Astyanax mexicanus: one gene and its partners. The main gene of each other region encodes a partner of the protein of the gene in region 2 in a complex. Links are inferred from orthologs where the notes say so. Each region holds a gene or a part of one and is shown on either strand. Other genes may lie near its edges.

Evidence for each region.
Region 1: drc3 (region 2) and tcte1 share a complex: the UniProt entries of both Homo sapiens proteins name them as parts of the nexin-dynein regulatory complex. The link is inferred for Astyanax mexicanus from reciprocal best matches to the Homo sapiens genes DRC3 and DRC5.
Region 3: drc3 (region 2) and iqcd share a complex: the UniProt entries of both Homo sapiens proteins name them as parts of the nexin-dynein regulatory complex. The link is inferred for Astyanax mexicanus from reciprocal best matches to the Homo sapiens genes DRC3 and DRC10.

Annotation. Positions count from the first base shown.
Region 1 is NC_064408.1:85,884,530-85,896,095, reverse strand, and holds the start of tcte1 (dynein regulatory complex subunit 5), read left to right. Parts: upstream 1-6,918; 5' UTR 6,919-6,982; intron 6,983-8,431; 5' UTR 8,432-8,489; coding exon 8,490-8,676; intron 8,677-8,840; coding exon 8,841-9,409; intron 9,410-9,541; coding exon 9,542-9,991; intron 9,992-11,566. UniProt on the Homo sapiens protein: Component of the nexin-dynein regulatory complex (N-DRC) a key regulator of ciliary/flagellar motility which maintains the alignment and integrity of the distal axoneme and regulates microtubule sliding in motile axonemes.
Region 2 is NC_064426.1:31,308,806-31,320,236, reverse strand, and holds the start of drc3 (dynein regulatory complex subunit 3), read left to right. Parts: upstream 1-6,528; 5' UTR 6,529-7,487; intron 7,488-8,896; 5' UTR 8,897-8,907; coding exon 8,908-9,076; intron 9,077-9,777; coding exon 9,778-9,894; intron 9,895-10,005; coding exon 10,006-10,172; intron 10,173-11,071; coding exon 11,072-11,218; intron 11,219-11,431. UniProt on the Homo sapiens protein: Component of the nexin-dynein regulatory complex (N-DRC) a key regulator of ciliary/flagellar motility which maintains the alignment and integrity of the distal axoneme and regulates microtubule sliding in motile axonemes.
Region 3 is NC_064408.1:34,841,905-34,852,717, reverse strand, and holds the start of iqcd (dynein regulatory complex protein 10), read left to right. Parts: upstream 1-6,219; 5' UTR 6,220-6,563; intron 6,564-6,724; exon of another isoform or gene 6,725-6,904; intron 6,905-7,394; exon of another isoform or gene 7,395-7,455; intron 7,456-8,227; 5' UTR 8,228-8,241; coding exon 8,242-8,877; intron 8,878-10,008; coding exon 10,009-10,242; intron 10,243-10,590; coding exon 10,591-10,662; intron 10,663-10,813. Other genes in the region: tpcn1 (two pore channel protein 1), read right to left, coding at 570-663. UniProt on the Homo sapiens protein: Component of the nexin-dynein regulatory complex (N-DRC), a key regulator of ciliary/flagellar motility which maintains the alignment and integrity of the distal axoneme and regulates microtubule sliding in motile axonemes.

The DNA of each region.
Region 1 (11,566 bases), on a different chromosome or scaffold from region 2:
CAGGCAACTGGTGAGCATGTTTCTGAACATCCTATACTCACAACCCAGCAATGATTGCCAGGTACACAATAATTGGAAAGTTCAACTTTGGTGCCCTGATCTCTTCACAGATGAGAGCTGCTGCACACTGAGCATGTGACAGGCGTGTAAGAGTCTAGAGACAGCGTGATGAACACTATGCTGCCTGCAGCATCATCCAGCTTAGGCATATCTCCTTAACACCATATTATTTTACCCCATTACTCCACCCCATCTCATCAACACCCCATTATTCCACCCCATCTCATCAACACCCCATTACTTCACCCCATCTCATCAACACCCCATTATTCCACCCCATCTCATCAACACCCCATCATTCCACCCCATCTCATCAACACCCCATTATTCCACCCCATCTCATCAACACCCCATCATTCCACCCCATCTCATCAACACCCCATTACTTCACCCCATCTCATCAACACCCCATTATTCCACCCCATCTCATCAACACCCCATTACTTCACCCCATCTCATCAACACCCCAATACTCCACCCCATCATTCCACCCCATCTCATCAACACCCCAATACTCCACCCCATTATTCCACCCCATCTCATCAACACCCCATTACTGTACTTCACCCCATCTCATCAACACCCCATTACTCCACCCCATCTCATCAACACCCCATCTCATCAACACCCCATTACTGTACTTCACCCCATCTCATCAACACCCCATTACTCCACCCCATCTCATCAACACCCCATTACTCCACCCCATCTCATCAACACCCCATTACTCCACTCCATCTCAACATCCCAATACTCTACCTCATCTCATCAACACCCCATTTCCCCACCCCATCTCATCAACACCCAATTACTCCACCCCATCTCATCAACACCCCCATACTCCACCCCATCTCATCAACACCCCATTACTCTACCCCATCTCATCAACACCCCCCATTTACTCCACCCCATCTCATCAAAACCCCATTACTCCACCCCATCTCATCAACACCTCATTATTCCAACCTCATGTCCTTGATGCCCCATAAGTCTATCCCATTACTTAATCACCCCATAACTCCACCCCATCTCCTTAACACTCCCTTACTCCTTCTCATCAATACCTCATTAGTCTGTCCCATTATTTAAACACCCCATCCCATTATTTAAACACCTCAACACACCATTACACCTAACCTTATTTCCTTGACTGCCTGTAAGTCTGTCCTATCACCTCAACATCACATTACTCCACCCCATCTTCTCAACTTCTCATTACTGCACCCCATACCCTGAACACACCATTATTCCACCCCATCTCATAGACTCCCCATTAGTCTATCACTTCAATACCACATTACTTTACCCCATCTCATCAATACCTCATTACTTCACCTCATTTTCTTACTGCCCTATTTCCCAATCTACAACTTCTTTACACCTTGTTTCTTCGCTCCACCTCTTCTACATCTCATTAATGTTGCTGCACAATGGCAGAAGTGGTTGAGTTTTTCATCAAACTATTCCTTTAATGCTAAAATACTACAGAAGTCTTTGCAGTGCAGAGCTTGAGGCTGTTTGGGGTTCGAAGGTTGTTGAACTTGCACTGAAGCAAGCCGACAGTTTCGCCTGGGTGCCGCCACTGTGGACACACAGTGCTGGGTGAAGTGTGACAGTGGGCGTTGTAGTAGGAGCTGTTTTGGCCAAAATTTCAGCAACACCTCATAAATGGATCTCATGCACTGCAAATCTGGGCAATATAGCTAATATTTTAGAGATAATAACTTGAGATATATGATGTATTTGCTATAAGAGATGAGATACAGTGAAATAGTGGGAAATAGTGTTTGTCCATGATATCTTCAAGATATCTTTTTTTTTTGCATGTTTGTCACTCTTAAATGTTATAGATCATAATATTTAAAGATAACACAAGTAAACACAACATGCTGTTGGTTAATTAATGTTTTTATTATTTAGGGAGAAAAAACATAACTGGTTTCTGACACCTGAGTTCAGTTTCTCTAGATACACCCAGGCCTGATCACTCTCGCACCTGTTTTCAATCAAAAAATCACAAAGCCAAGAAGTTTTGGGACTACAGTGAACCACAGTGGAGGCGATCGACCAAAATTACCCCAAGAGCACAACAACGATTCATTCAAAGCCCCACAACAACATCCAAAGAACTGCAGGCCTCATTGCCTAAGTTAAGGTCAGTGTTCATGACTCCACCATAACAAAGAGACTGTACAAATGGCCTCCATGGCAGAGTGCCAAGTCAAAAAACACTGCTGAGCAAAAATAACTTGTCTCAGTTTTGCCAGAAAACATCTTGATGATCCTTAAGACATGTGAAAAATGAGAGAACTGGCAAGACAAAAATGTAACTTTTTTGGAAGGTGTGTCATATTCTGGCATAAAAGTAACACCTAATTTCAATAAAAGAACATTATACCTACAGTATAAAAATGGTAGTGTGATGATCTGGGGCTGTTTTGCTGCTTGAAAGACTTGAAAGACTTGCTGTGATAAATGGAACCATGAATCTTGGAGAAGAAAAATGTCTGGCCATCTGTTTGTGACCTCAAGTTGAAGTTATTAGGTTTAAGTAGCAAACAGTTTTTTCACACAAGCCTTTGTTGGTTTGGAATTTTTTTCTCCCTTAATAATAAAATTCATCATTAAAATTTGCATTTTGTGTTTACTTGCCTTTGACTTATAATAATAATTTTGAAGGGGGGTAAACACTTTTTCACACCACTCTATATGTAGTACTATAAATGTTTGAGTATCAAGAAGCTTTTTAAGGATTTAATAAATCTGCACTCAATGTAAAGGTTCTTTACCAATGTCAAGGTTCTTCACATTCACAGATAGATCTTGCTTACAAACATGGATCTGTAGGTATTAATAGTTCTTCTTTGACGGGTGTTCAATCTTCTCTTTAAATGGTCTGTTTGGCTATTAGCTATCATTCTAAGCAACCAAGCCTGATACTACTGGTTTAATCAGTAGGGGAGAGTGGGGTAATGTGAGCCATTTTTTACATTTGCCCCTTGCTAGCTGAGCTACAATGATATATAAGTAAAATTTAATTTTTTCCAATTAATTCAGGATGTTTCCTAGCTATTAAAGTTATCAGAATGTCTTCAAGACAAAGGGCAATGAAAATATGTTTGTGGTCTTGTGTCTCACTTTACCCCAACTCAGGGGTAAACTAAGACAGACCAGAGAAATTAAGGGGGTAAAGTGAACCAGTTGGGGGTGTGCTGTTCCACTTATGTTTTCCACTTGTACACTACCATTAACATTACATTTTGTAACAATTACAATCCTTACAGCTAGATTGACAACCACACATTCCATAACTAATATCGGACTAGTGTTAGAATCATGGAGATTCAGTCCATTAATATTTTGCAGTTCAAAGTTTCACTGGTCATTATCACAACCCACTCACTATTAGTCTGTTATATCATGTATAGTGCACCTGCTGTGGTTTTTGAACTGTAAAGACACCTGTTTCATCCCCATTGTAAATCATGTGTGGAGGGAATGCGTGTCTATTAAAGATGAGAGACAAGGGAAGAACCTTATTGAAATCAAAGCCAAAAATTACAGGTAAAGTCTCCATAAAACTTATGCAGCTAAAGAATTGATTCTGTCACCAGTCCATTACTACAGCGAGATTTTCGAAGAACTCCCTCACTGTTGTTTTATTGAAAGTTGTAGCCCTTCGCAGGGATGTTGCCTCAGGAGTTCATACAGAGAGATGTTGACGTGCTAAGAATCTTCCAAACCACTCTTTTCCTAAAAAGTACAGTATTCATTAGTATAGATTTTGCTTTTGGAAAGTTAACCTACAGAATCATATAGTCATGTAATCTCTTATCTATGTAATCACACGCTAGCCTACCTGCACAATGTTTCTAAGTCCAATTGGCTGGGACGGTGTTTCACTTTACCCCACAGCATTTGTCTCACTTAACCCCACGGCTACCATTTTAGAAAAAAACATAATCTCTAGCAAATCAGGCTAATCTTCAACTAGCATCAATCACATGGTTTGATATGTTGAACGTTCATAAGCATGTATGATATTAGTTTTTCTACCTGAATCAATTTACTTTGATAAAATAGTTGATTAAGTTCAAAGCAAGAAAATTTACTTTTAAATGCATAAAACACCTTTTTGTGAAAAAAAACCAAAACTTAACAGCACCAGCAACAACTTCCTCTTCCTAGTAGTGGGAAATGGGAGGGACTTGACAACATAATGGTCACATGACCACAATTGTGTTCAGTTGCCATGATACAAGGGGTGTCTCACATTACCCGATGTCTCACATTACCCCGCTCTCCCCTACTTGGCAGCAATTAAAACCTTCAGCCACATCAGCCCATAGTGGACAGATTTGACACCCCTCTTCCTTTTATGAACCCTTATAGCATATAATATAATAATATAATTCTTTCTCACACACGCATTATTCTAATGAATGAAAATTGCAGACATAAATTTTCAGAATGCATTAACTCAGGGTTCCCACTGTTATTGCTACACTACTGGTAAAAAATAGGGCCATGTCTTCTTTAATAATGGCTCTATTGGGCAGTTCAGATTAGGAAAGGGGCTTTATATTCCAGCAAATTTTCCTGTTTTCCTGTCAGATGATTAAGCAGAAGGTTCTTTCCCAGAGAAATTAGTTCATCTAACATTCAGCCTAAAAAGCAAGCTTGAAAGCAAACTGTGTGCAAATGAACCACCTGAGGTTTTATTTTAGTTATGTAGTTAAAAATACCCTCACAGGATCAAAGTGTTTTATTTTGTTTCAGATGTGTTTTCACAAAGTGGCTTCACACCCAGATGTCACGCCAAAGCTTTGTGCTTCACAAGTGGCTTTTTTTTACACAACAGACATTTCCACAACTTTGTAGTCAAGCTTCTCTTTAACCAAGTGTGAGACAAAAATCTCTCACAAATGCTGCGTCTTATAACACCTTTCCATTCCCATAGATTTGCAAATATCCCCATGTCTAATTTCACACTGATGATGTTCTAGATTGTTATCACGTCTACTACTGTGTGTGTGTGTGTGTGTGTGTTTGTGTGTGTGTGTGTGAGACCTTCACTTTGCTAACTGGCAGATTTGTGCTCTGTTCCCTATTTAATTCTGAGAGAAATCGAGCTGAGAGTGTGTTACTGAAGAAGACCCACTTCAGACCCCCTCATTCCCTAAATTAGCATCTCTTTCAAGTGGAATTAAGCACTGTGTACACTGAGAGGCACTTAGCCAGCTCTGGATTGCTATTTACTAGCAGATGTGATTTGAAAATGATTTACAGAGTCTTTACAGGACTGGATTAACCTTCCTATTCATCTGAACAATTTCTCTTTTTTACCCGGGGGAATAAGTGCTGAATATCTTTTCTTAATAAATGCATAAAATGTCTATAGCCTTGGGAGTTTCTTTCCTCAGCGTTTTTGCAATTTAAAAGTGGGCCAATACTTTTTCTCTCAGTGCTTTACATATTATTAATTATCTAGCATAAATGAAAATTAATGGGATATAAGAAGCTACCTTATCTCTTAAAAGAGAACTAGAATTAAAATGGGACAGAATGGTATTCAATATGAGAGTTAATGGTTACATGGCTAGGAGAGGATTATACTGTTTCCTGTTTACAGTTTTCCTTGGTTTTTGTTTTGTTGGGGTCTGGTTTGGTGGTATTGATTTGGCTGTCTATTTTTTTTTTTGCTACATATGATTTTTTAACACCTAATCATCTTACTCCCTACATTTTATTTTCTGCTATAAATCCTGCTCTTAACAAAACTGTGTTGATTAATAACAGTTTAGCATGTTATGTATGGTCAGTGTGTTCTGTTTTAGGGTTAATGGAACTTAAACAATGAGAATATGATATATTGATAAAATAAATAATGGAATAACTGGAATAAAAACTTGCTCTTCATGTATATGGTTTGAGATGAGGGATGTACTGGCCATAGGGAGTACCGGGACAATTCCTGGTGGGACGCTCTGTGTGTGGGCTGCTAAAAGAGCTATTAATAGAATCCTATTCAAATATTTTAATGTTTAATGTATGTGCATTGGTCCACAGTACCAGCAGTGCATGGCCATTAATTAGCCAATCCCAGTCAGCAGGTTCATTTGTTCAAAACAAATATGACAGTTCAGACAGTTTAATTCTAAAAGTTTACTGAGACAGGATGGGGAAACCCCAATTGAACTATTTTAAAAAGTCCATTAATAAATAAAGTAGAATTTGTATAGAAAATGGAAAATGCAGAAAAGATACTTTGCAGGTTTATGTAAATATCTGCATATAGGTGGGCTGATGGGGTAGTTTGAGATTGTAGTGTTCTGGTTTGGAAAAAAGTTTAGTTCACAGTCCATATATATGTAAGAAACCACTTAAAAACTAGTGCTTGAATTTTTGCACCAGGAATGACAAAGTTATTCAAAAGTAATGTCAAGATGCATGAAAACTCTGATTAAAAACCAGGGTTATTCTACCAAATATTGATTTCTGATTTCAGCCATTTCTCATGTTCTGCAAATAAATGCTCTAAATTACAATGTTTTTATTTGATATTTAGGAAAAATGTTTTACGTAGTTTATAGAATAAAACAACAATGTTCAATTTTACTCAAACATATACCTATAAATAGCAAAATCAGAGAAACTGATACAGAAAATGAATTGATCTCTTATTTTTTTCCAGAGCTGTAAAATGTACTTTTTTTCTTTACTACGTAACTCCATATGTTTGTCTTAATTGTTTTCATGTCTTTAACATTAATCTACAATGTAGAAAATAAATTAAAGAAAGAAAGTACACATGTCCTTTTAAGTCCCCCCTACTCTGTGACTACTAGCCAATCACAGCGCTTCCTTGTCGCCATAACGACTGGAGACTCTTGTGTTGGCGGTGAACTCTGGAGAACGGAAGGTAAATAAGTAGATTTTCTTCAGCGTGTCTGTTTTAGGAATATCCACAGCAATACCCACATTAAACACATTATTCTCCACAGTATTGTACTCTGTTTACTCATTACGTTCACTTCAATTTACTGTCATTTTGCCTTCTAGTCTGCTGTGTAGCAATAACGTTAACCTAGGTTATCTTACCCAGCTAACCTAACTAGGTAACTAGATTCAGTAGGGCTGAATCATTTCTGTGCCTTTTATACCACCGATGTAGTTAATGATTATATAATAGCATAATAACAGACTTTAAAAAGAGCAGGGAACTTTAAATAATTTAAGTTAGCTATAAAACCTTTGTTTAAACAAATACCAGCTCACACACTTTAATAGGCTCTTCTTGCTAAGATCAACGTTATGGGCAGTATTAAGGACTGCTAAAATTATTGGGATCACATCCATTAAGTCGATAATGTGACTATTGTGTATTGTGGTCTATATATATAGCAGTTATATTTTTGGTCTATGGCTGACAATTGACTGAAATTTACTTACAATTTACTACAGGACTTTTTAAAATGTTCTTTTAAAGTGTTTCCCTGTAAGATCATTCATGACAAACTGTGAAATGCACAGTTGATAGAAAACTAACATATGTCTGAGATAAAGAAGAGATTTATATAGCTAAGAAAAAAAAAGATCTTACACATTTTGTATATGTATGTCGTTTTGATAAGACTGGGGTGTGATGAGTCAGAAAGTCCTTCAGACTGTATTTAGATCAAAGTGAAAAAATTCAAGGGCTGTTTCTCAGGAGTTTTCTCAGTTTCCCAGATTGGTGGAAATTGGGTTTAAAATAAGACTTGTCCAACCATGTGTGAGAGAATAATTAAATGGTTGAGATGTTAACAGTCATTCTGAGAGGGATTTGGCATGAAATGATTCATTGTAGGAACTCAACAACTCTGATTACATTACACGTGTCATGATAAGAATCAGGCATCCCCCATGACTATATAAAAAATAAAAACAAATTACTGTAATGGTAAAGATTATGGTAAACCGTATTTAATCTTAAAATGTCTGTTATTGAGGCCAGTTGTGCTTTATAACAATTTTCATGTACCCCTCCACCATGAATGGATTTTCTCCAAAATCTTCTTAAAGCATTTGTCGTTACCACTTTCTCTGAGGAAGTTTTAGATGCATTAAACTCTTTTATTTACCACTGCTGTGAACAATTCTGACTGTGAAAGTTTTTCTAAAACCAAACATTTTCAACCAATTCAAGTCTGAATCCAATCCGACTGTTCACATCTTAATCCCATTCTATTATTTTAAATTTTGTTATGCAGATTTTTAAATAAGGAATTCTCTGGGTTAAACAGCAGTATACATCTGTGCTCCAGTGGCCTGTTGGAAAGTAAAGGGATCTCCAGAGTAAATTTGTCTCATTATTTTCTACTTTTTCAAGAAGAGAGGACTCATCTAAAGACTTGACTTCAGCCCTTGTGTATTGTGACAACAAAGAAATGCCAGTCATAAGTATGTCCATGGGCAAAGCTCCAGCTGGCATTAACCCACCAGTAAAGATGCTCAATCCTGCTGCAGATCCTCGAAAGATGCGAAGAATTATTGCTGAAGACCCAGAATGGTCTCTTGCTGTTGTGCCTTCCTTAAAAAACTTATGTCTACAGCACATAGTGAATCATTTTGAAGGTAATCTTCTTTTTCTACTACTATTAAGACATTATTCACACACTTTTTAATGATAGATTTTAAGTAATAATATAATTAATCAGGTACTTTGACTAGTATATAGTATATACTATGTTTCACAGTGTTTTACAGCATTTGTTGATTTGTGCTCTAAAATGTTTCAGAGAAGCCTATTCTGAATGAGCTCCTGCCTAGTCAGAAGGCTTTTGTCCTGGAGAAGCTTCCTACCTTCCTGCCTTTGAGCCTAACAGCCAATCTGATCAGTGATGAGGGTTACTGGAGACGCTGCTGTGAGGACCGCTGGGGCCAGAGGGATGTTTCTGAGTATGACCTCAGCTGGAAACGCATGTTCTTTGAGCGTCATCTGGAGAACATTATTGAACTTTTCATTCCCGACCAAACTGAGCCCAAATCAGTGCTGGATGTTGTGCCACTCTGTCAGAATTATGTTAGGAGGCTAAAGATAACTCAGCTTCTGCCACCTATCAGAAAACCACCAAAGTTCAATGAAGATGATGCCTCAGAATCTGCCAGCGATTTGGGCGATGATGGGCCATCAATAGACCACTTTGACTTTAGAATCCTGCTGAACAAGCTTACCAACCTGGAGGAACTGCAGTTGGTTTATGGAGTGAGAGGGTGTGGCATGAACTTTGAATGGAATCTATTCGAGTTCACCTTCAGTGATTGTCAGTTCCTGGCCAAGGCCCTGCAATCGTGCACAACTTTGAAGGTTCAAAAAAAATTTCTGATCTTGTTTACCATAGTATAGCATCTCAGTCAGATGTTTTTTACTTCATTTTGGGCCATTGTATTAAATCATACCTTTTAATTTAACCTTTTTTTGTTTCATTTGCTTGAACAGATTCTTAAAATCAATCAGAGTAACGTGGATGATGATAAGTGCCGGACGCTGGTGAGCAACCTGCTAGATCATCCTTCTCTGCTGGAGCTCGACCTCTCACACAATATCATAGGTGACAGAGGAGCAAGAGCCCTCGGGAAGCTCTTAAACCGCAGTCACCTGAAGCAGTTGGACATTTATGACAACAAAATCAAGGGGCCAGGAGCCCAAGCTTTAGCCCACGCCCTCTCTAAAAACACCCCTTTAGAGTCCCTCAACCTGAGACTGAACCAGATAGGGGATGAAGGGGGCCAAGCTTTGGCCCAGGCCCTGTTAAAGAATTGCATCCTCCTAAACCTTCACCTGGGAGCCAATGAGCTGACAGAGCCCACAGCCACAGCACTGTCCCACATGTTAGTGCACAACTCAACTCTGAAGAGGCTAAATCTGTCCTGCAATAGACTGGGAGAGGTGAGTTCTGCTCCGCTTGTTGGTACTCACAGTAATAATTCATTGAAGAATCATATAATAGAAGGGTGTGGTGTTGGGTATAATGCCTCTCAGCATTAAGTTGTGGCGCAGTGGAACTGTGTTCTCTGGAAAGATGATGCTCCACCCATTATTTTTGGGATGAGGTGAAATTGTGGCCATCTAACTTCCTGACATCACTATCACTCTAAGTCTAACGCTAAATGCAATCAAATTCTCGCAGCAAAGTTTCCAAAATCTAGTAAAAAGCCTTTTTTAGACAAAAAAACTATTTATGTGGAGGGGTTTATTACTTAAGTGTATATCCTCTTTTTCAGCCTCCAATAATTTAGGTCCAAATTGAGGTTATAAGGAGTGTTTTAGCTTGGACTGCTAGGACTACTTCGAGAGAATAGTATAAACTAAACCTTGTTAAACCTTTTATATTAGACATATGCTGTTTTTTCACTCTGTATAAAATACAGTTTTTAATACGGAATGGAGACTCAGCTCTTTGCAGCGGCTCGATTTACAAACATGAACATGAAAAGATTCACTCTCTTCGTTCTGACCGTAATACACGCTCAATTATTCATGGAGCAGGGATAGAAGTGCACTAACAGGCTGAGCTGTGGAAGGGGATTACCACTCCCTGGGGGTCTCATCATCTCTATTGCTTCTTCACTGGGGTCTTTACTCCCCATATCCGCCTGGTTCTAATTCAACACAAATTGTATTAGAAATAATTGCCTCATTCAGGAGAAAGCTCTGGCTCCTTTGTCAAGAAACATTAGAATCGTGATGTCTAGCCTGCGTGTAGCCAGAGTGCAGAATATGATCTGCTTGGTCATCACTGTGCTGTGACCTTGAAACAGTATTTTGCTGCTGGGAGTGAAAAACGCCTGTGGCTGACCTGCAAGCTAAACATTGATCGTTTACAGAAAAGTGGCACTGTGAGTCATCTCGTCTAACTTTATATTCAAACACTTGCTAAATGTAGAACTATATTCTTATCATGCCTTATTTAAGTCTATATGAAATAAAGACAAGGTTAGTAATGTAATGCTATCATAATGTACATTTGCAATTCGTACTGCCTTGCAGTTTGATAAATAAACCGTTATAAATTTGCATTCAATATTTTTAATAAGTCTGGGCTAAATAATTATGTTTTGCATTTGCTTGGATTATAACATTTTGCAAAAATGGGCTCCTGTACATTTAGTAAGTGTAAATTGATTTCTGACCCAAGATTGCAGGACACATATTCCTGTACAAGCTGAGATATATAGAAACATCAATAAAAGTGAAAAAAAAATGTAAACTAATATTTTTTTTTACCATATATTACACCATATATACCATATATTACTATTAAGCTGTTCTCACAAGTATTGGCCTGCCAGCTTTATTAGAGTGATACAGGGCAGTTATCAGCATGCCAAGCCCAGAGAAGCAATTAGATAGGTGTTATTTTTCAAGTCAGTGAAGTATCAACATGTTAAGCTATTTACTTAATTCTACATATGTTTTGCTTTAATGTCATGTTCAGTCTTAAACACATTCTATTCAAATGTA
Region 2 (11,431 bases):
TGCTCTTTTTCATGGTAATACCACACTATGCAGGCTCAGTTCATAAATACATAAATAAATAAATAAATAAATAAATAAATAAATACAGTTTAACTTTAAATGGCATTCCCTATTTTAAGATTGTATTATATCATGCAAATGCATTTTGGGTAGAATATCCAATGATCAATGTAATAAAACCTAATATATATTTATTTTCATTTAAACTTGGTTACCTACAACGGTTTGTGGTTTAAAAACACATAATTTTTGAGTATTGAAAATAATTGAAACAAGTAATTTTCTTTTTTTAGGATGCATATCTGGCAGCCATTGGAGCCATGACCTGAAACGTGTGACATGGTAACAATGGCAAAAAGTGTAAATATGCAAATCTATATACACACACACTTTTCTAATAGTCTTCTTGTTGAATATACTTTATGTTAAAGCTTGTATCTTCAACTACAAAATAAAATTTAAATCAACTCAAACTCTTGTTGTTTTTTCTGTTTATGTTCATGCCTATATGTCTAAATAAGGAGAGTAAGTATGAAAACTGTATTTGAGTGGTTGTAGGAAGGGTAACAAAAATAATATATGTTAAAATATAGCTTTTATTAGAGCATGTTTACAAGTAAGGCTATAGGTTTTGGACCATATCAGCTTTAGGTATAAAGATGTTTAGCATAGAAGGTGGGGCGGAGCTGGGCCAGTGTCGGTCTAACTGTAAATGAGTCTGTGCCCTATTTGGACCAGATTTAAAAAATGAGTCATAGATCTGAGCCAAATCTGGGCCAAATGTAATGAAATTCAGTGTCGAGCTGTGCCAGTTCTGGCCCAAATTCAAATCAGATATGCAAAACATATCTGTGCCGATTTGGGCCCGTTGTGCAAAAATAAGCCAGCCCAAATTGGTCTGCCAGATTTGTTACAGATGTTGTGACTCGCCTGGGCCAGATTAGGACCAAAGTAAATTTGCTATCAGGGGTTGCTACTGTCGCATGGGATAATGGCCTGAGAAATAGACCCAAAGTGCAATTTGACCCTATATTCTATTATAATATATGCTATGTTCAAAGGGCAATTATGTACAAAACAAATACACAGTGATGTTTCTCAAATGTGACTGTTTTTTTGAGATGGCTTAAAACTGACTTTTCTTATATTATATTGATATTCATAGGGTCATTATAAAATAACCCACAGTAATATTTGTTCTTCTTCGGGATTTTAACAGTCTGATGCAGGGGTGTCCAAACTTTTTTTGTTGGGGGCCAGAAGGAGAAGTATATTTGAAGTCACAGGCCAAAGACTCTAAAATAAAACAAATAATGAAATATACCAATTTAAATAATACTTTTTTCCTGATTATTTCATTTACACACCATTTTACTTGACTTACTATCTTTATCTTTGACAGTGTTGTGTAAACTAAGATTTTTCAAACTGATGTTTAATTTCATGAAGTCTCTTAATATTAAACTCCTTAATTACAGCAACTTTTAGACTCTGTTTTTCTGCGCTAGAAATGCGCACCATCTCCGCTTTTAGACTCTTTTGCCCCGTTTTTCTGCCCTAGAAATGCACACCCTCTCCGCTTTAGACTCTTTGGCCCGTTTTTCTGCGCTAGAAATGCGCACTCTCCCCGCTTTTAGACTCTTTGGCTTGTTTCTGACACCTATTGTTCAAACTTTGAATCTCACACTATAAAAACCTGCTTAACTGCGGGCCAACTTTCATTTTATTTCTAAAATACCTCGCGGGCCGCTCCAAAAAAGGAAACGGGCCGCAAATGTCCCGCGGGCCGTAGTTTGGACACCCCTGGTCTGATGTATTGTTTCTTAGGTCTGGCAGTTTTTGAGACAATTTAAGACTGAGGAGATAATGCCCTGATAATTAGGCCCACAGTGCAATTTGACCATCAAATTAATTATATCATATATACAACTTCCAATATCATTATACAAAATATCAAAAATAATATTTGTTTATTTTTGGATTTTGACAGTGTGAGGTACCTTATCTTATATCTGACATTTATATTGCAAATTTTACATTCTACTAGTATTTTTTTTTGTGTGTTTTCATTTTCTCAAGTGTGTACCTGTGTGTCTGTATACAAGTTCATGGAACATTCTAATTCCTCCTCTATTTTTTTTTCCACTGCCCCGAGCCGCGGCTTCACTGTCTCCAGCCGTGGCTTAACTGTTCCCACCCGCAGCTTCACTGTCCCCAGCGGCGGCTAGCTGCCCCGCGGCCTAACCTCCCCGAACCGCGGCTTCACTGCCCCGAGCCGCAGCCTAGGACTCCGTTCGGCTGATTAACCGACTTGGGTAGCCCTCGCGTATCTGCTGCGAGACAGTGCGCGCGTGAGAACTTACGCACAACACTGTCTATGTGGTAGGATCGTGACGCAGGACAGTTTCGGCTCTAACCAGCCCTCACCAGAACACGCATATTTATCTTTATATCATATTTATCTTTATTTCATTATTATTATCTTTGTAATCTGGGTGTCATCTCCATCATCATTTCATACACTTCATGTGGCGGAATTCTTCTGAATGTACCACACCTTACAAGGCTCTTCATAAGCGCACATCTAGGTTAAACTCTCCATAAGTCTCAGCAGGCAATCAAACTCAGCATCCATTAAGGAGACGTCGGGCATTTCACAGATTGAACAGGTTGAATCACATGGTCCTGGACAAAGATGCTCTCCAGTTGGTCCATCTACTACTGGCAAGGGTTCAGCCATTTTCTTGCTGTAGATGTAAAAGTTCTCAACGTCCGTCACCGTCCCCATCATCAGTCTCTCTTCTGAAGTCCACATAGGACTGGCTCTGCGGGTGAATGGTACTTCAGTACTGTCTCTTTCTTCTTCTGTTCTTCTTCTCTTTTTCCCAGTCTCCTCACAGTCCTCGCTTCTCTTTCTCTTTTCTGCCTTTTCCCTTCCTGTCCCTTGAACAGACTCAACTGGTCCGAAACCCAGCAGTTCATCAAGATAAGTGTCTAATAGGGAGACATCAGGCCATAAACTGCTTGAGCTGGTGGGACTGGATCTAGGTTCTTCTCCTGGACCATCTACTGGGGGGGCTCTCTCCTCAGTGTTAGTTAGGTTTAAGCTATTAATTAATGTAAAAAAGTATATATGGGGAGCCGTGTGTGTGTGTGTGTGTGTGTGTGTGTATATATATATGTATATATATATATATATATATATATATATACATATATATATACACACACGTCTCCCCATATATATTTTTTTACATTAATTAATAGCTTAAACCTAACTAATTTTATAACGTTTTGTTTCATTATTGACCTTTTTAAGCACTTGTGATGAGTAAAAATGCTGCATAACAAAGTGGACAAACCTTTTTTTCAGTGTTTCCCCCGTCAAGTAATTGAAACCTGCGTGTGATTGGTCAGATGTGTGGAGCACACGCTTGACAGTGGAGACATTAAAGTACCGACTGAGAAAAGGAAGGAGAGCAAAAACACATTGGATAAAAAAAAACTGTCAGCTCTGTGGCACTTGCAGAGCACAAGCGCAACGACAGGGAGGCGGAGAGACAGCGAGATACTGAAGGAAAAAAACGTCTCCTTTTGTGTAGCCGGTTTCAATCATTCACTTCACTAGAGACCCACGTCTCGATGTTGGAGGGAGCAGTAATGAGGAGTGTCCAGTGAGACCGTTTCCTTCTGGACAAACTTTAACTTCGTGTAGTGAAGCTTACTGAGAAATCCTCCTGCATGAAATTGTACGGTAACACTTTACTTGGATGGTCCATTTTATGGCCTTGTTGATGCTCAACTGACATTCAACTAACACTGAATTGAATGTCCATTAAATTTAACTTAACCCTATGTTGAATGTAAATGATTAAAAATAGAATCTAAACGTACACCTAACCCTAACCTTAACCCTTAATCAACCATAAAATCTAACCCTACACCTAACCCTAACTCTAACCTTAACCTAAACTTAAAATCTAATCCTAAACCCAATCCAAAAATATTAAGATAAGTGTTTGGGTTAGAGTTGAATGTAGGGTTATATTCAATAGAAAATCATTTACTTTCATCTTTTAGTTCATTTGCATTTAATAGACATGTAGTTGAATGTTAGTTGAATGTCAGTTGAGCATCAAAGAGGCCATCAAATGGACCATCCAAGTAAAGTGTTACCAATTGTACTTTAACCCATGTCCACCTGGAACCTCATAGCACATGCTCTACCCATAAGCACCACATTGTAGTTATTAATGGGTTTTATGCTGTTGTCTTGTGGCTCATTGGCAGTCATTTATGGTTTATCAAGTTCTATACAAAGTTTGCTGCAGGGGTGTTAGAAATATTCAGAAAATACAGGGATGGACGCCGTGTCGCCGTTCCCATTCATTCAATGAAAAAGAAACCAAAATCTTCCGCCATGTTGTCGATCCTGATACCCGATTCTGCGCAGTAGAGACCAGAGGAAGGAGAAAGACTGTGGAGAGACAGCCTACTCATTTAAATAAACCCGCCCCTGAGGGCTGCCTCGCAGTCACAGACTGCAGAGCGGGGCGGAGCGGAGCTGACGGTCTGTTATTGGTCCCGCCCATAACCAGCCCTTTTACAATAACCACACCTTTTTAAATAGAGCTGAATAAAGTTTTAAAAAACGAATTCTGTGGGGATAATAATAATAATAATAATCCCTTTTAGTCAGCTTCAAATTGTGTCCACAGTTAATCCTGTTGGATGTGATTCGTCCTTCTTGGTGGTATGCTGACATTACCCTGGATACCGTTGCTCTTGATCAAAGGTGGAAAGAGTACAAAAAATGTGTAATTGAGTAAAAGTACCTTTACTTAGCTAAAATTCTACTCAAGTAAAAGTAAAAGTACCCATCTAAAATTCTACTTGAGTAAAAGTAAAAAAGTACTCAATTTAAAATGTACTTTGAGTAAAAGTTACTAGTTACTGTTAATTATTTGAAGTCATAAATTATGTATAGGTGACTATAAACCGTATTTTTATATTTTTACAGTTCATTATTATATTTTTTTTAACTTGCCATTGCTATGCTGCTATTTACATGTTTTTTAACATTCAAGCAGATTGTTTAATGTTCCCAATAAAAACTTAGGCTACACAGCTGATTTAAACAGCGTCTCTCCCGCTAACCGTAATAAACACTGGGAAAAGTTTAGCTGCGCTGGAGAACAAAACTCAGCGCAAACTATGTGTGATAAAATCAGCGGAACATAAACACAGCGTACATTATGAGGCATTTCTCTCACCACCAAGACTTTCAGAAAGGTAAACTCTATTTGTGGACACAGGTTAAGCATGTAACGTAGCGCAGCTTTGATATGTCTCCAGTTTAGTTAAGCGTTGTTTAATGTTTAAAAGGGATCTATGTAATCCATGATCATTAGCTAAGATATTTAGGCTATAGTTGCCTCAATCGCCTGTTAACATCGTGCCGACAGACGCATTTCATACAGCTTTCAGTGCATTTAATATACTAATAATTTAGGCGTTAATGCACAATAGTAGCAAGGGTGTCAAAAGTATTTACATTCATTACTCAAGTAGAAGTACAGATACTGGGGTTTAAAAATACTTTTGTAGAAGTTGAAGTATCAACTCAAACCTTTACTTAAATAAAAGTATAAAATTACTGCCTTAAAAACTACTTAAAGTATAAAAGTAAAAGTAATGAAAGGGGAAAAAAGACCTTATAAACAGAAGCCTAGGCCGCACTACAGGGGCCTATAGTGCGCTACCCCCGATGACTAGATGACTATAAGTACTGAAATGGTGCTTAAAAAAAGTCTTCAGAAATTCTGAGGGATGTTATTAAAATATTTCACAGACAACATAATACCTATCCTTACTACATGCTTTACCAACCAGCTGTAGAATGTAACTTTGCACAATGAACTTTGGACACATTCTATTTGTTGCAGATTAACGTCAATCAAATCTATGGCATATTAATTTACAGAGTTATGCAGTAAACAAAACATAAAAATAGTCAACAAAACCTTTTTTTTTTATATAACTTCTTAAGCTCCAAGCCTAATTTCCGCCTAAAAATACATACCCAAATTTTAAAGCCTTTAACCCTAATATTAAATTATTCAGAGAATTTTAATTTGATCAATTAATATTACAAAATTTACTGAAAACACTTAAAAATATACAATTGAACATGTAATATTCAAAATATGGTAAAAACAAGATTTTCAGTGCTTTTCAGATTTTCTAATTTTTAATTTTAAAATGAAATATTTATAGGTGTGTTTATATAAGTGTTTTTACAGTTCTTTTTTAGCTACAAGGTGTTTACATTCACCATGTAAAATGATAAACTCCTCTCTTTCACGGTTTGGATATTATAGTGATCTGCTCCTGGGATATTTCTTTCTTTCTCCAAAGGACTGGAAACTTTATAAGAACAAAAACTACTAATTTTATAACTTATTTTACAGTAAAGATTGTGTTTCTAGTGTCGGGTTACAGACCCCTCCCCAGATCTGTCTCCGCGGCACCTGATTGGCCGACAGAGATTCACGTCTTTCTTCAGAGAAGACTGTGTTGATTCTGCGCATGTGCATTAGTAAGCTGTAAACCGAGCCAAACCTTTAAATAAAGCGTTAAATTCGATATTATAAGCACTGATTTGACAAAATGAGGATTAGTGTAGAATGGACTGATGGATTTACTTATTTGGAACGATTTTGTGCATTTTGTACAATTGCATCTTTAGTTAAATATTAGTTATAGATAAAAATTTAAATATTTTTCCAATTATAGCAAAAACTATTACAACCCGTTAAAGGGAGTCCTTATTAATCAATGGGGCAAATACAGCTAAAAAACTAGTAATTAACTACTTCTCCAGTATATTTCTTTAATTTTCGAAATGTATTTAGCTAAACAATAAAACTAACAACAAAAAAAAAACACTGCTGCATTACTCCTACTGTGTGCTGACTGAATGGTGAGCTGATGCTTAAAATATAGTCAGAGCTTAAGAGGTATATTTTACTTTATTAGGTTTTTCACTCTACATTATAATTATTATGTGTACAATATATATTATGTAATTATATATACTATTTCTCAAATATTTTGATTAGTAGGAACTACATTGTAGATATGTGCAATCATACAGTAGTAAATAGTAGTAAAAAAGTAATTATATTTATTAGGTATGAAAATCCATTCCCCAAACAATGATAAAATAGGAGTAGGTCAGAATTACATTTAGGATATATGGTCCTGATAATATGTCTTGTAGTCAGAATGATTACTAGTAAACCTTTCATATCTGGTGATGGTGGGGTATAGCTGCTGTGTGTGATTGTGAGTTTAGTGGTGCTGCGTGAACACTGCACAGACATGTGTCCTGTTGCTAGGCAACAGCAACAGCAACAGCAATACAGCGAGGTGAGAGGGCGAGGATAATACTTCCAGCTAATGCTAAATAACTTACAGATAAACAGGTAATTTAGCTAACTACTTTACTAAAAACATCTGTGTTTAATGGATTTGCCTATGATTTCCTTCAGATAACGTAATCATATTGTAGTTACTCGCTAGCTATTGCTTAGCTTAGCTGTGGCCTAAGGCTGGGCTGCCCTGATAGTAAAGAACATTTAACAAACGTTAACATATCTTTTTGGTTGCATTACACTGTATCTTATAATAACGTTATTTATTGAAAACAATCTTTAAACAACCTTTGTTTAACTTTCTCTTCTAAGCATTTGTAAGTGTTAAAATTCTGACTAATCCGACTTATCCTCTGTAACTTACAATGTATTAAGGTAGTTTCATATGCATAAAATATAAGAAATATTAATATTGTACACACACCATTTGTGTGGTAATGATGTTGAGGTCACTATGACTTTCAGTTTTATAAATCTTTTTCTAAATGTCCATTTACTTTAGTCTCTAACGTAACAAAATAATACTCATAGCCTACAACTCTGAAAAACTCTTTACCCACTTAAAATGAAGAGTTTTTTTATTTTATTTTATCAAATTGAAAACCTCTGGATTATAATCAAGAGAAAAATGGATGCTCACATGCCATCAAACCAAGCAGAACTGCTTGAATTTTCACACCAGGAGTGGCATGAAGTTATCCAAAAGCAGTGTGTAAGACTGGCGGAGGAGAACATGCCAAGATGCATGAAAACTGTGATTAAAAACCAGGGTTATTCCACCAAATATTAATTTCTCAACTCTTAATACTTTATGCATATGAACTTATTTTCTTTGCATTATTTGAGGTCTAAAAGCTCTGCATCTTTTTTGTTGTTTTAGCCATTTTTCATTTTCTGCAAATAAATGCTCTAAATGACAATATTTGTATTTGGAATTTGGGAGAAATGTTGTCCGTAGTTTATAGAATAAAACAACAATGTTTATTTTACGCAATTATATACCTATAAATAGCATAATCAGAGAAACTTATTCCGAAACTGAAGTGGTTTCTTAATTTTTCCAGAGCTGTTTAATAAAATACAAAAATAACTTTATGATTATGCCAAACCTGCTGATAATTCATTAAATAAATAAAGTAAATTGCTGGGATCATATTGATTTAGAGAGAAAAAGAGTGTTAAATTTAAGGATAGCAGAAGGGTTAAAGATTTTGAATGTTTGCTTTTAGGCTTTTTAGGGAAAAGTTGCTTTTTGCTCCCCACAATTAATAATAAATTTTTTTAAATATTTAAATCTGGTGGTCATTCAATATCTGGATCAATAGAAATGCTCTAAAATTACATGGAATATTTTTTTCTACAATGACTTAACTGAAGCGTCAAGTGTCAAACAATATAGTAATGACAATACTTAACATACATCCCTCATAATATTTTTTCTGGCTGTCATTATGTTTTAGTCTTTAGCAATATGGACAAAATGAGCATGTGGTATGATAGAATGGGGCACTGCGTGATCAATGAGGAGATGCTGCGAAAAGCAGTTGAAGAACAGGGACCTCAAGGCCGTGCTGGACGAATAGCAAAGGAAGGGGGCATCCAGTATGATGAAGTGATTCAGCTGCGTCTGGAATACAAAAGTAAGAAATTAATTAATACTCTTTTGTTTTTGATGTGCCATGTTATAGGCTCTATGCATGCCAGTCTTCTGGGTCCAGTCTAGTTTTTATGATTTTCTGTAATTGATTAATAAGAAAACAAGTGCAAAAATGCAAAGCCACACTTGAGAGTAGGATCAATGTGGTAAGGATAATGTTTAGGCAAGCATCAGACAGAATATTCAAAAACAGCTACAATGAGTGTAGAAACATGGGGATTTTAATGTTATGGCTGCTTTGTGTAATGTATAATGAAACTAGTTTAAATATTGTGACTGATCTGTGTTTTATCTGCATAGGAATTAAGTATTATGCGAAGTATATAATGATGACAACAGAAAGTTACACATTTTAGTTTTAGGCTTTGTAATGCTTTATATACTCACAGGAATTAGTTTCCAGGAATGAGTCGTCAATTACCTGATATGTAAATGCTAGTAAGTTTGACTTGTGTCCTGGACAGCACCACAGCAGGCAGCAGGGTAGTGAAGAGCCAGGCTAGACAGCACCGGGACACAACAGAAGGTACAGGGCATCTGAATACATGTGAAAAACAGAGATAAAACAGAAAGGAAGAAAACACACAAAAAAGAAAACATCAAATTTAAAACCGTTGCTGAAACTTTCCCTAAATATCATATTATTTAAAGTTATGCATTAATCCTTTGTAACGGTTTCTGCAGAAATCTTACAGATTGACCATTTATGGGAGTTCACATCTCTAACCAAGCTCCAACTTAATAATAACAGCATAGAGAAGATTCAGGGATTAGAGAAGCTCACAAACCTGTTGTGGCTTGGTGAGTTTGAATCTGTTTTTAACATTTACACATAAAAACTTCCTATTGTGAATGTTCTTTATGTTTTGTTACAATTGCTAATCATTGACACAGTTTTCTCTTATCATTTAGATTTGTCTTTCAATAAAATTAAAATGATCGAGGGACTGGAGGCACTTGTGAAACTTCAGACGCTGAGTTTATCCAACAACCAAATTCCTGCCATAGAGAAGATGGACACACTGGAACATTTAGAAATCCTCTCTCTGGGAGAAAATGTGATCTCTCAGATTGATAATGTAAGTTCTGTAGTTTTTAATAGGTGACACAGATCGGGAGATCGCTGGTTTGAATCCCGGTCATGCAGCTTGCCATCAGCTGCCGGAGCCCTGAGAGAACACAATTGGCCTTGCTCTCTCTGGGTGGGTAGACGGTGCTCTTTTTCCCCATCACTCCTAAAGTGATGTTGATCAACACGAGAAGTCTGTAAGCTGATTTATCAGAACCGAGTCACTGTGCTTTCTTCCGAGCGCGCTGTGATGCTACTCGACAATGCTGCATCAGCAACAGTTCAAAAAGAGGCGGTGGCTGACTTCACATGTCTCGAAGGAGGCATGTGCTAATCTTCACCCTGATGGGGGATATACAGCTGACTAGCAGTTGGCCTAGGTAAATTGTGGAGAGAAAATGGGAGTAAATTAAAATAAATCTTTAAAAAAATAGGTGATGTCGATCATTATTGATTTTTGATCAATAAACCAAAAGCATATATTGTAATTGCAGTTCTCCTCACACAATGTCATGCAACATTTCATTGGTTCAATGGATTGCTTGTATGATGTCTGTGCCAGATGCTGCTGGTCATAATCATCACCATCCACTGTGCCTACACAACTTAAGAAATGGAATGGCGTACCCATCTGGCACTCACCATCAGGCTTCGCTCCAACTCCAGTAATTCACATCATCTTGCCATGAGCACTGATGCACTAACGGCCAAATGAATCTTAAATCATTACATTTTTACAGCAGTGTTCCAAAATCTAATTTCAGGTCTAGAGGTGGGGAAAAATATTGATATCGCAATATATATTGTACTGTTTTCATTTACATGGAATCAAATATGGATAACATAGGTGCATATAAAGTCCCTGAGACTCACCTCCAATTTGACTCACTAGATTTAACCCTTCCACAGGTAATATACCTAAGAAGATTTAAGAACTTGCGCTCTCTCAACCTGGCTAGAAATCCCATCTGCCAAGAGACAAACTACAAGATCTTTGTGGTTGCGTACCTCCCAGACTTGGTGTACCTGGACTTCAGGCTTGTGGATGAGCAAACTGTGAGTGAAATATTGATGGGCCATTTTTGTTACACTTATGATTCTTCACATTACAGCAGTAGTTGTAGCTAAAGGGAACTAACGCTTTGACAAGTATCCATAGTTGAATTAATATTGCCTAGGCTGTGATATTAAATAAAGCATATTTAAATGAGGTACAGAAAACATATTATCACCTCACAGTAAAACAGTAAGGTATATAGGTGAGTGAAA
Region 3 (10,813 bases), on a different chromosome or scaffold from region 2:
TAAGGATAAATAATACACTAAAATTGCCTGTTTTATGTCATTAGAAAATAATCAGGCTTAAATGTGATTACTACTTGTCGAATACAAGACATTACGGATATTATCTTCATTTAGTAAATGTAGAATAACCTTTAGTACTGCTTGCCATTGGTCAGATCAAACATTTTTTAAAGAGGTTTTTGTACAGGATTGTTGCCACCTATAAGTAAAATCAGCTTGGCTCATTTTTGTGCTGAGCAGCGTGTACAGAGCTATCAGGCTACTTCATCTGTGTGCTAGCTGTGAAGCGGTGTAGATAATTAAAATGCCACTAAATGTGTATCATAGTGGCAAAAAAAGACAAAGTCCAAATGAAAAAAACATATACATTTCTATTTCTATTTAAATGTACTTACTGTGAGCTAAAACACATTGTTATTGTGCTTAACATATTTTGGAAGGTAATTAAATGTTCCAATTTTATTGATCCCAAAATAATTCCGCCATATTTAATGAAAATTAAACTACTTCTTTCTTTTGATTAAACTATTATATAAATGAAGTTAACCACTACATACAGCACCACATACCAGCACATCCACATGGTTGGTAGTAAGAGGATGACTGGAAGGGCCATTCAGGCATCCACTCATCCATGCTAATGTGGTTACCATCGCTTTCCATGACAACCAGTGTAAATGATTGTACTGGTTACCAGCAGTCAGTCAAAGACAAAAGAGTGGTGGCCGAGAAGAGTTAATCACAAAGCGTCAACTGTGTGGCGGCATCTTCTCTGTGTGTAAATGCTGAAAGTCCTCCTTCTGAAAGAAAAGCAGCCTTCCAAAATCCCAAAAAAATCAAACACAGCAGAAATACATTTCCCAATATCGAAGAGCACAGCATCCCAGTTCCCACATTTCTGCACAGCATCAGTCCAGGGGTTTCCACACCAATCAAATAAATCAACTCTATTTACAAAGAGTGGAAAGGCTTAAAGAATCCAGTGAACCTGAAAAAAACTTGGCCACTCCCTCAAAAATAATATGCAACAATGTGAGAAAAGTAGTAGTGATTCTGAAGAAATCTGGAAACTTTCTGGACAGCAGAACAGGGTATCTTGAATCTATGTCACCTTCTCCAGCTCCTCCAACTTCTTGAATGTCTTGGTCATATGTGTTTGCATTACTCTGCTTCAGGCTGACGTTCTCTTCACCGCAGATGAGCCAGGAAAAACTTCTTCCCGTGTCATTTCCTCTTTTCCTGTGCCACTTAAAATTGGCTGGCTATAAAAACTAAAGCAAAAAAACAAAACCTGATTGTCTTAGTACTAGAACTTTTCCATATTGGGCTTTGTTTCAATTAGAAACCAAGCTAAAAAAAAGAGAAGGTTTAACCTGCTGGTTTTGGTCTTCTTTTCAGTGAGAACAAAACAGGATGCCTGTAAACAGAAAAATGTCCCACCCGTAATAAACATGAGTAATGAAAGCAGAACGCTGCCCAGATTTGTGTTCCTTTCACAGCGAAATTGAGAAATCCTTGAGGAACAGAAAGACAAAAATGTATCCAATCAAAGTTTTACCTGTCAAACCAAAACCATGCCCAAGGTAAGGAAAGGTCACTCCAAATTTGGTAATATGACCTGGTCAGCTGATTGGACTCAAGGTAGAACTTGTAGAATGTTCTCTCATCATGTTTGTCCACGAACATGAAATAAACAGCAACAAAAACATGTCACCAAATCAGCCTGGTCCTCCCATCACAATCCACAGTTGTCATGGTAAGCAAACACACAAACACGACGTTGGTGCTAGCAGAAGAAAGCACGTGGTCCAAGTTCTCCTGACACTGAACTCTCTTCTTTTATTCCATAAATAGAACAGCCACCAGTTCCGTCACATAAAGCCCCACTGTCTGCTGAGGCCAGAAGCAGACAATGATGGAGCATGAGCCAGTAAGAGCATAAAAAAGTGTGTGTATTCCTATAATTCCTGCAATTTCCACAGAACATCCATGAAGTGGGTCACAGAAACACCATGAAGAGATTAAAAAAAAAAAAAAACTTTTAGGTTTTAGCCCTCAAGTTCAACAGCAGGACAAAAATATCACAGGGCATCCCATAACCAGCCAGCTCTGTTCACCTTTCAGCCCAGGGAGCACTGTATGTGCTTGTTTGCAGGATGGTAGGGAGTGGACGGGGGCCACAAACAAGTGTGGCATCGGTCACTATGCTGACACAGCATGTTCAGTCATGGGCTGCTGTTTGTGGGTGTGTGTGGGGGCATCTGTACAAAGACCAAAAGATTGCTGCGGTTGACACTCAAACACATGACTTCTACTGTCAGGAAACTTTTTCTCTTAAAGCGACAGTCATTTAATTTGCCCATCTTCTCAGATCCACTGAAAGATTTTTCAGGGTTCCTCTAGATTGTTAAAGAGTCGATAATTTACTTAGCAATAGGGGGTGGGCAATATGGCCTTAAAATAACAAGACAATATTTTAGGGTATTTTTTGCGATATGAAAAAACAAAATAAATATTTTATTATTTTAAGCAATATACTACTTCAACTGAATAAAACGTAAAGTTTTATATAGTTGCGAAATCCTCTGTACCCGCTTCTCATAATCTTTGGTTTGAAACAGTCTTAAAGTGCATAGGATCAGAAAAAATCAAATCACTCACTTAAAGCGTCTACAAGACAATTTAGGCAATGTGGACTCCATTTTTATCTTATGTAAAATAGCTGGACATACCTGCAATTCCAGAATGAGAAAGGTTCTTAATTCTTAACTCATATGTTTTAATAATTTGGGTTTTGTTCCTAATATCCAAGACTGGATGCATGATTGGATGATGGGAAGTTAATGGGTAGCGAAGATATTTGGCCCTTGTTAAGGAAATTGTTTTTGATTAAGTTGACTCACACCTTTTTTTCCCCACCCTTTTTTAGTTGTTTAGTCTTTTTACTAGTTTTTTGTTGTATGGTTATGCATTTGTACTGTGCAGCTTATAAACATATTTATGTTGTAAATTCCAAGTACTTTAAAAGCTTTTTAAAAAACTATTTTTTAGTTCCAAACATTATGTAGAAACAAATCTGTAAACTTTTGTCTATTCTGAAAACAGTAAAACAATCTAAATTTTGATTTTGTATAAAATATTAATAATAATGTAACAAAATAGGTTTAACCTAAGAATTAACAAAAAATACACAATACTACTGCGCACATATTTAAACAAAAATTACAAACAAATCACTTAAATCACACTGTGGTATCACAGTGACAGGAAGACATTATAACATTATAACTATTTTTAAAAATAAAAAGTTGGTAAACTTTTTTAAAAGTCCATGTCTAAAATTTAAGAAATGCTGCCCACACAGACAGGATCCTAAAGCAAAACAATGCATTCAGGCATATTTGAACCTTCTATTTTATTGAATGTAAATGCTAACAGACAATAAGAACACTTTTGTTTAATTAGTTTAGTTTAATGCTCATATCTAGCAGTGAGCTCTAGATATCTTTGCAAGGTCAGGACAAATAGTTCCCTTTTGATTTTAACACATAACCCTGCATCAGTGCACTGTCTGCTTAGCGAGAACAAATTAGCAACAAATTATGAAGTGAGCATTTCATGAGTTTCAGACAGTAAAAACAGCAGACTGTAAAAACAGCAGACAGGGAGAAGGCATGGTGCACGAATATGTTTATGTCATGCCCTAATCAATCATTTTGTATATGTATATGTATATGTGTGTGTGTGTTTGTGTGTGTGTGTGTGTGTGGTGATGTAAGGCTTAAATAAAGCTTTTCGGCCATGGAAACGTTTCATGAAGCTCTCTACACTCTACTTTTCTTGAGCTAATCAAAAGTTTGAATGCCGGTAGAGATGTAATTTGGTGACCTCTGTGCACTATTCCTTTCACTGTTCCTTTCCAGTCCCTTCTACTGACTGTGAAATATTTAGCAGTGAGGATATTTCACCTTTGGACAGTTTTACAGGAGGCATCCTGAGAGCGAACCATTCTTTTTTACTAACGTTTGTAGAAGCAGTCTGCATGCCTTGGTGCTTTGTTTTATACACTTGTTGCCATGGAAGTGATTGAAAGGATTAGTGATATTTAATAACCAGATTATTTAATAACCAGTGGGTAGCGCTGTCTCCTCACAGCAAGACGGCCTGGGGTGGCCCGGGTCTTTCTGTATGGAGTTTACACCTTCTGTATGGAGTTTCCTCCCACAGTCCAAAGACGGGCATGTTCGGGCCAATTGAGTATTGGCTGAAATTGCCCCCTAGGTGTGAGTGAATGTGTTCATGTGTCTGTCTGTCTGTCTGCCCTGCGATGCATTGTTTCAGCTTGATTCAACCTGGTTTGATGGCTTGTGATCATCCATTTGTGGACACAAAACACTGCTTTACATAACTACAATTCTTTTGCAAGGAAAAAAGAGAGAAAGAGGAGAAAATGTCCCAGACAGAAAACAAAATGCCCTAAACTGCAACAATAAGTGATATTTGATAAATGGAGGTGTTACCAGTGTTGTCCAAAATTGAAAAAGAAATATATGTCATATATACATATATACACGAACATGTATTCTTTAAGAAAAGAATGGTTTTATGCAAGCACTGAGTGCACAGATTATACATTTTCGTACAAATTTGCTCATCTTCTCCAAACCCTTATGGAGAAGCCCTCGGCTGAATGTATTATAATTCGTCCTGTTCTGAGAGACAGTGTGTGAGGCTGGTGAGAGTTACTGTGTGTGTAGTTAAGGACATGTCAGTGTGACAGTGTAATGAATGTCAGATACTCACTCTCCTCGGGACGCTCCGAGGCCTCGTCCCCCAGCAGCCCGCTGTTAGATTCGTCCCATGTTAAAATCAGCGGAACGTCGTCGTCCATCCCCACCCTGGACTGAAGAAACGCACAGTAAATCCAGTAAACCGAGTCTGGAGTCTAGCGCTGAGAGCTGCGGCACGGGTCACACATTAAACAGGCCAGCTGGCGGTCTCCCAGCGCTCCACACAACTTGGGTGAAGTTTGGACATTGGAGGCTCGGTTCTGCGCAGCAGCGTCTCTAACCGGAGATAAGGCTAATGCACTTTTCTGCAGGAATATGCAGCTGTAAACCCGCGCTGAGGAGCTCGCTGAGCTGTTTAACGCAGATCAGCTCGAGCTAAACCGGCATAACCAGAGATAAGAGTGAAGAAAAGCTCAGTTTAATCCAGTCTGCCGCCGCTTCACCTTCACTGTCTTACAACACTGTTTTACTCTTCACACTACCCTAACACGGGAGTATACACCAGCTTTTTACGATTTAATCCGCTAACTGTGACCATCTTCACTCTCAAACAACTGACACAGGAAAACACCAGACTTTACAAAAACGTAAATAACAGACAACCATTTTACGACACTTGTAGTCCATTGACGACCAAACTTGAGGCATATTTTTCACAATAAAAGTCCCGTTTAACAATATGTTTTCTCGGAATTTCTTGTTTGTTGTTTTATATAAATGGCATAGGTATTTTCCGGTAATTTAAAATGTAAAGTAGAACAAACAAAATGAATAAATAAAAAAACTAACAAAAATAAAAAAGAATTATATTCTTAAAGTAGTAGCATAGTATTACTAGTAAGTAAAACCAATTTTTTTTCTTACCGTGTCGTGTTTTACACATGCAACCCTGATGGCAAAGAACATAAAAAAAAACGTTTTTTCTTTTTTCTTTTACCGTCGATTATGAAAAAACAACCATAAAACAACATTTATGTAATACTGCCTAATAAGAATCGGTTAACAATAAAATCCCATTAAAAACAGTAAAAACGTTGAATTAACGTTAATTTGAAGGTTTTGAACCTTCAAATTAAGAAGGTTGTGTGTGTGTGTTTCCTGACACCTAGCTGTATCATACACACTTATTTTTAGTGTTCTGTGTAATTCGGTTTAAATTCTATTGATTTTTTAAATATATAAAATGTAATATTCACTAGAATTGGCACTGTATCCAAAATATAAATGGTGTGCGTGTCTGCTGCCACCTAGCTGTGACACAGTTGCTGAAATGCTATTGAATTTGTGAATATATAAAATATAATAAAAAATTTGAGCATTTCGCATAATATTAATGGGTGTGCAAGTTTCCTCATGACTCAAAGTATACATCCCCGTTATTCTGATGTTTATGAACCCTAAGGATATGGAGCTAACGTTATTGGTGTTTTTTTTTTTCTTAAAGCCATCTATTCTTATGTGGGAACATTAATAGGCATTTTTATGCACTGAAGTGATTTGGAGGTAAATAAATGAGTGTGTACAGATGTAGAGGTGGTCTAGAAGTACATGCATTTTATTCTGACAGGAAAAGTGCGCTTAGTTTTTCGGTATTAACGCTAAAAGGGCGTTGCGCAAATTTCACCCAAACAGTAAAAGGAAGGGTGTGCGTCACTCTCTGTGGTCGTACTGTCCTGATTATGTAACGTTAAGTATCTGCTGGCTACCATCCTCCGTTCAGAAGTTATTAGAGCCGAAAAGTCGAATATCAAAAATGAAACTAACTTTACCGTGGTAAAAATAACTCCTTTTTTCTTTAAGTAAGAATGCAAAGTTCGTGTATGACTGAATCCAGTGTTTATTGATATAATTGTGTATTATTATATAGAGCAGTGTGTATATCTGTAGAGCTGTATGAACTCAGAAGAGCCTATGTGTTTAAAACTGTCATGGCAACCAGCCATAGCGACCAGTGTATACACACAGCACTGCAGCGGAGCCAGTCTACAAGCAGTTTACCTGAGTTTTACTGACTTCAACTGCCGCAGATCTATAATTACAGCGTTACGTTGATGGGAAAAACCAAGCCACCGCGTAGTTAGTGTTTTAGAGAGTTTTGGAACCGCTCGGCAACAGTGAGTACAGACTGAAGCGTTTTCCCACCTTTGACCTGACCTCTCTCATCTGGTTTCAGCCCACAGCCTAACTGTGTACAGGCTGCTCAGCTAACTAGGTTGAATGGCTGTACAGGCATGATTATTGACCCTCCTATAACTGTGGTGTCATCTGACCCCATTCAGTGTTTAAAGTCTCTGAAAAAGTGTCTGACCTTGTGATTCATATTTATTGTCTTTTCCTAAACTGATGAAGACAAATAATAATAATAATAATAATAATAATAATAATAATATAATATTGTATTTTCAATGTTCTGTTCATATTTTCTAGGTGCTGCAACTAATAATTATTTTGGTAGTTGACTGATGATAATTTTTACGATTAGTCAGCGATTATTTCTGCCATGTTCTCCATCTCTAAAAACAATAGAAAAAGCTGAACATAAGATTTAAATGCCATATAACTGTTTATATGTTGTTTAAACGTGGAAAGTTCTGATATTTCGTGATTAAATATGTAATCTGTTGTGTTTAGGCACTTTTGGAGACACACGTTGAGTGTAAACAGTGTGAGTGAGCCATTTACCCTACTCGCTTTTGTCCCCGGCAGTTTGTGTAATGCGGGAAAAGTCGACAATCAAATTTGTAGTGGACAAAATTAAATCATCGACATTGTTGATTATACTGACTAAAGGTTACAGCCCTATACACCCCAGTGTTATTTAACAGGTTAGCTAAACCCCAGGCTGTTTAATCTGTATAAACATAAGAAAAAAGACATTCAGTTTTATAATCTTTCTCTAAACTTCCCTTCACTTTAGGCTTAAACTTAATAACGCAATATTTGTAATAATGACAGAACCACTGATAATTCATCAAATAAACATGGTTTGGGGCTGCTTTGCTGCAGCAGGGCATCTCAGGCTCTTAATCATAGGATCTACTATGAATTATTGTGATTGACACTTCTGATTGAGTCCAATTGGGTGATTGGGTGCAATTTGAGAACATCTGTGTAAAAACTACATAACTGTAAGGCTGTCCAAAGTATCTCCATTTTTGTCTATTTTTAGTTTATTGCATTTGTAAATTGTAATTTAATTGTAAATTGCTTTTTTGGAGATATATGTTTTTCACTGAACAGCAACAATATGTAATTTAACACAACTTTATTACCTCCATCTCTCTGTATGGCAAAATGAAGATCAGATGTCCATATGTTGAAATATGATGTAAAAGACAGATGTTTAGATGGGGTCCCCTTCTTTTTTCACCTGATTTTATCTCTCTAACAGTTAAAGCATTTTCTTTAATGTTGTTGACATGTCATCCTTTTCTTAGAACTGCTCGTGTCCATGGCATCAGAGACAGATGAAGCACTCTGTGTTAATGAACGCCAAACCGAGACCCCCTCTTCCGTCACCCCCCATAAAAAAACACAAAAACTTTTAAACTTATCTAGGAAGAAACTGGTGTCTTTGGAAAAACAGCGCATTTTGGGAGTTGTGGATGAGTGCATCAGTTTGATGGAGCTGGTGGCCCTGCTGCCCTCTGAATTAACCCACCCTGAGAGCCTCTCTGTAAGCCTCAGAGCAGAAATGACCAGGGCCCTCACTGAGGACCTGCATCTGTCAAAAGCATACCAGGACCTGAGCCTGGACCCTGGAGCCAAAGGACAGGAAGCAGCTGCTAAAGCAGTGCAAGATTCATTACTGAACATTTCACGGCTGCTGAGGGCCTGTCCTACTGCAAAGGTGGGGCTAAAAGGGGCAGGATCTATTGAAGAAGATAGAAAAGGTGTAGAGGAGATGTTAGAATGGTTACAGGACAATAGAGTTGTCCTACTAAAGCGGCTATTTATGACACCTATGGAGGAGAGGGTACGCATTCAGCGCATGCAGGAAGACACTCTGCGTCACAACAGCAACCAAAAGGTGCTTGCCACTCTGGAGAAGGAAGCTGCTGCAGCGGTAAAGGACAGGGATAAAGAGGTGAGGGACAGTCAAGCACTTTGTTTAAAACTTTGCACTATTCACTAGAGATGTACCAAGTTTAATTTTGTTTTTTCAGGTTTTTCATCCATTTTGCTACTTTTTCCACAATTGAAGTTACAAAGCGAAATAAATATGAATTTAACACTTAACCTTTAACCCAGAAGACATACCAGCAAAGTTCAATACAGTTACCTCTGCAGTGCTACTCTAGTAAGAGTTGCCAAACATTTGGTGTATCCCTACTGTTCCCAAAATACTGTTTCAGTGCCCTCTGCAGTCCTTCATTTGGACAGTCATTTCCGGTTGAGAGTATGTACTGTATGTAGAGTGTAAATTGTAAATTGTAAAGCACCCTTGGTTGCCTTAAAAGGTGTTACACAAGTGCCAATCGTTTATTCATTCATTCATTTCATGAATTGACCCCTTAACACTGTTCTCTGAATAGAGTACTAGTATTACATGTATGTTTATTTATGTCATATTTATATTAGACTAGCACCGGAGTGCTAGTGATAGGGCCATTAGCAGTGATTAAAAAACAGTTCTTCAGGAAATCTGCTACTTATGTATAATAGGCCTGCAGGGGGTGTTGTGGAGCCATGTTTGCTCAGATGTTCTAGGAGATTGTGAACCTCCATAGTGCAATGTACATGGGTACCTACCTGTTGTATGCACTGACTTATCCTTTATATGCTATATACTGTGTCGTATTGTGGGATTATTAAAGTTTACATAATACTCTGCATTGTTTTCAGAGACCAATGCAAAACATCAGAACTCCAAAGTAGTGCACAATATGGTACACATGGCACAGTTTTATACATTGTTCAAGATTTTACAGTGTGCTTAAGTTATTGGGGGGGATTTAGAACATATCCTCTCTCTCTCTCAATCTCTCTTTTTCTGTGTAACTAATGAAGTAAACAAAAAAATAGATTTCTGACAGATTTCTCTTCCTCTTTCTCTTATTCAGTGCTTCATTTTTTTTATTTGTCCTGCAAACATAATCTAGGAATCTTATTAGAATTCCATCCTGGATTTTAATGTTATTAAAACGTCATAATAGATATGATATGTCATGTTACTAACAAGACTTTTCTTTTTTCTCTTTTTCTCTTTCTGTCATAGATCAGTTGGATGAACAAAGTGATTCAGTGGCTGAGGAGTTCTATACTCAAGACAGAGAAATGTTCAGACGATTTTGTTGTGCGAAAGCAGAAGGAGGCTGAGAGACACGATGAATCAGTTCAGAAAACCTCAGAGCTGAAACAGACACGACTCCAGGAGGAAGTCAATCAGCTGAAAGTTCAGCTTAAAAACCTCATCATACAACACAGAGATGCAGAGTTGGCACTGCGCAAGGTGTGCTTTTGTGTGTGTGTGTGTGTGTGTGTGTGTGTGTGTGTGTTTAAACTGTTGTTCTGTTTATGTTAATTCATTCATCCTCAATTAGGAACATCACTGTTATTCGAATTTCAATCTGGATATTGTTATTAGATACTAGAGATTAGATGTTATTAGATTAGACTGTTAGTATGTAACTGTATTACCTATTTCCTTAAGGATGTAAAGCTTTGGCATCAGGTTACAACCAATTTTTAGATTTAATGCCAGATAAACTGCTTTTATAGGATGACAGCAAGTTCACTATTGTGTGGGCATGCTCTACACATGGCATATTCTCATATCACTGTTTGCTCTTTTCTACAGAAAAGCTACAAGGTGGAGACTGAGGTGCAAAATTGGATTGAAAAATATGATGCTGAAATGGGAGAAAAACAGGTGAACACAGATCAATGTTATTAATCAGCCAGGACGTAGTGGTATCTGAATTCTGCTTTTTTTTACACTACAAAACATGCACAAATTAATAAGATGTAAACTTAATGGCAAATTATATGTTTTGTTAGGTAGTCTTTAGTAAACATACTTA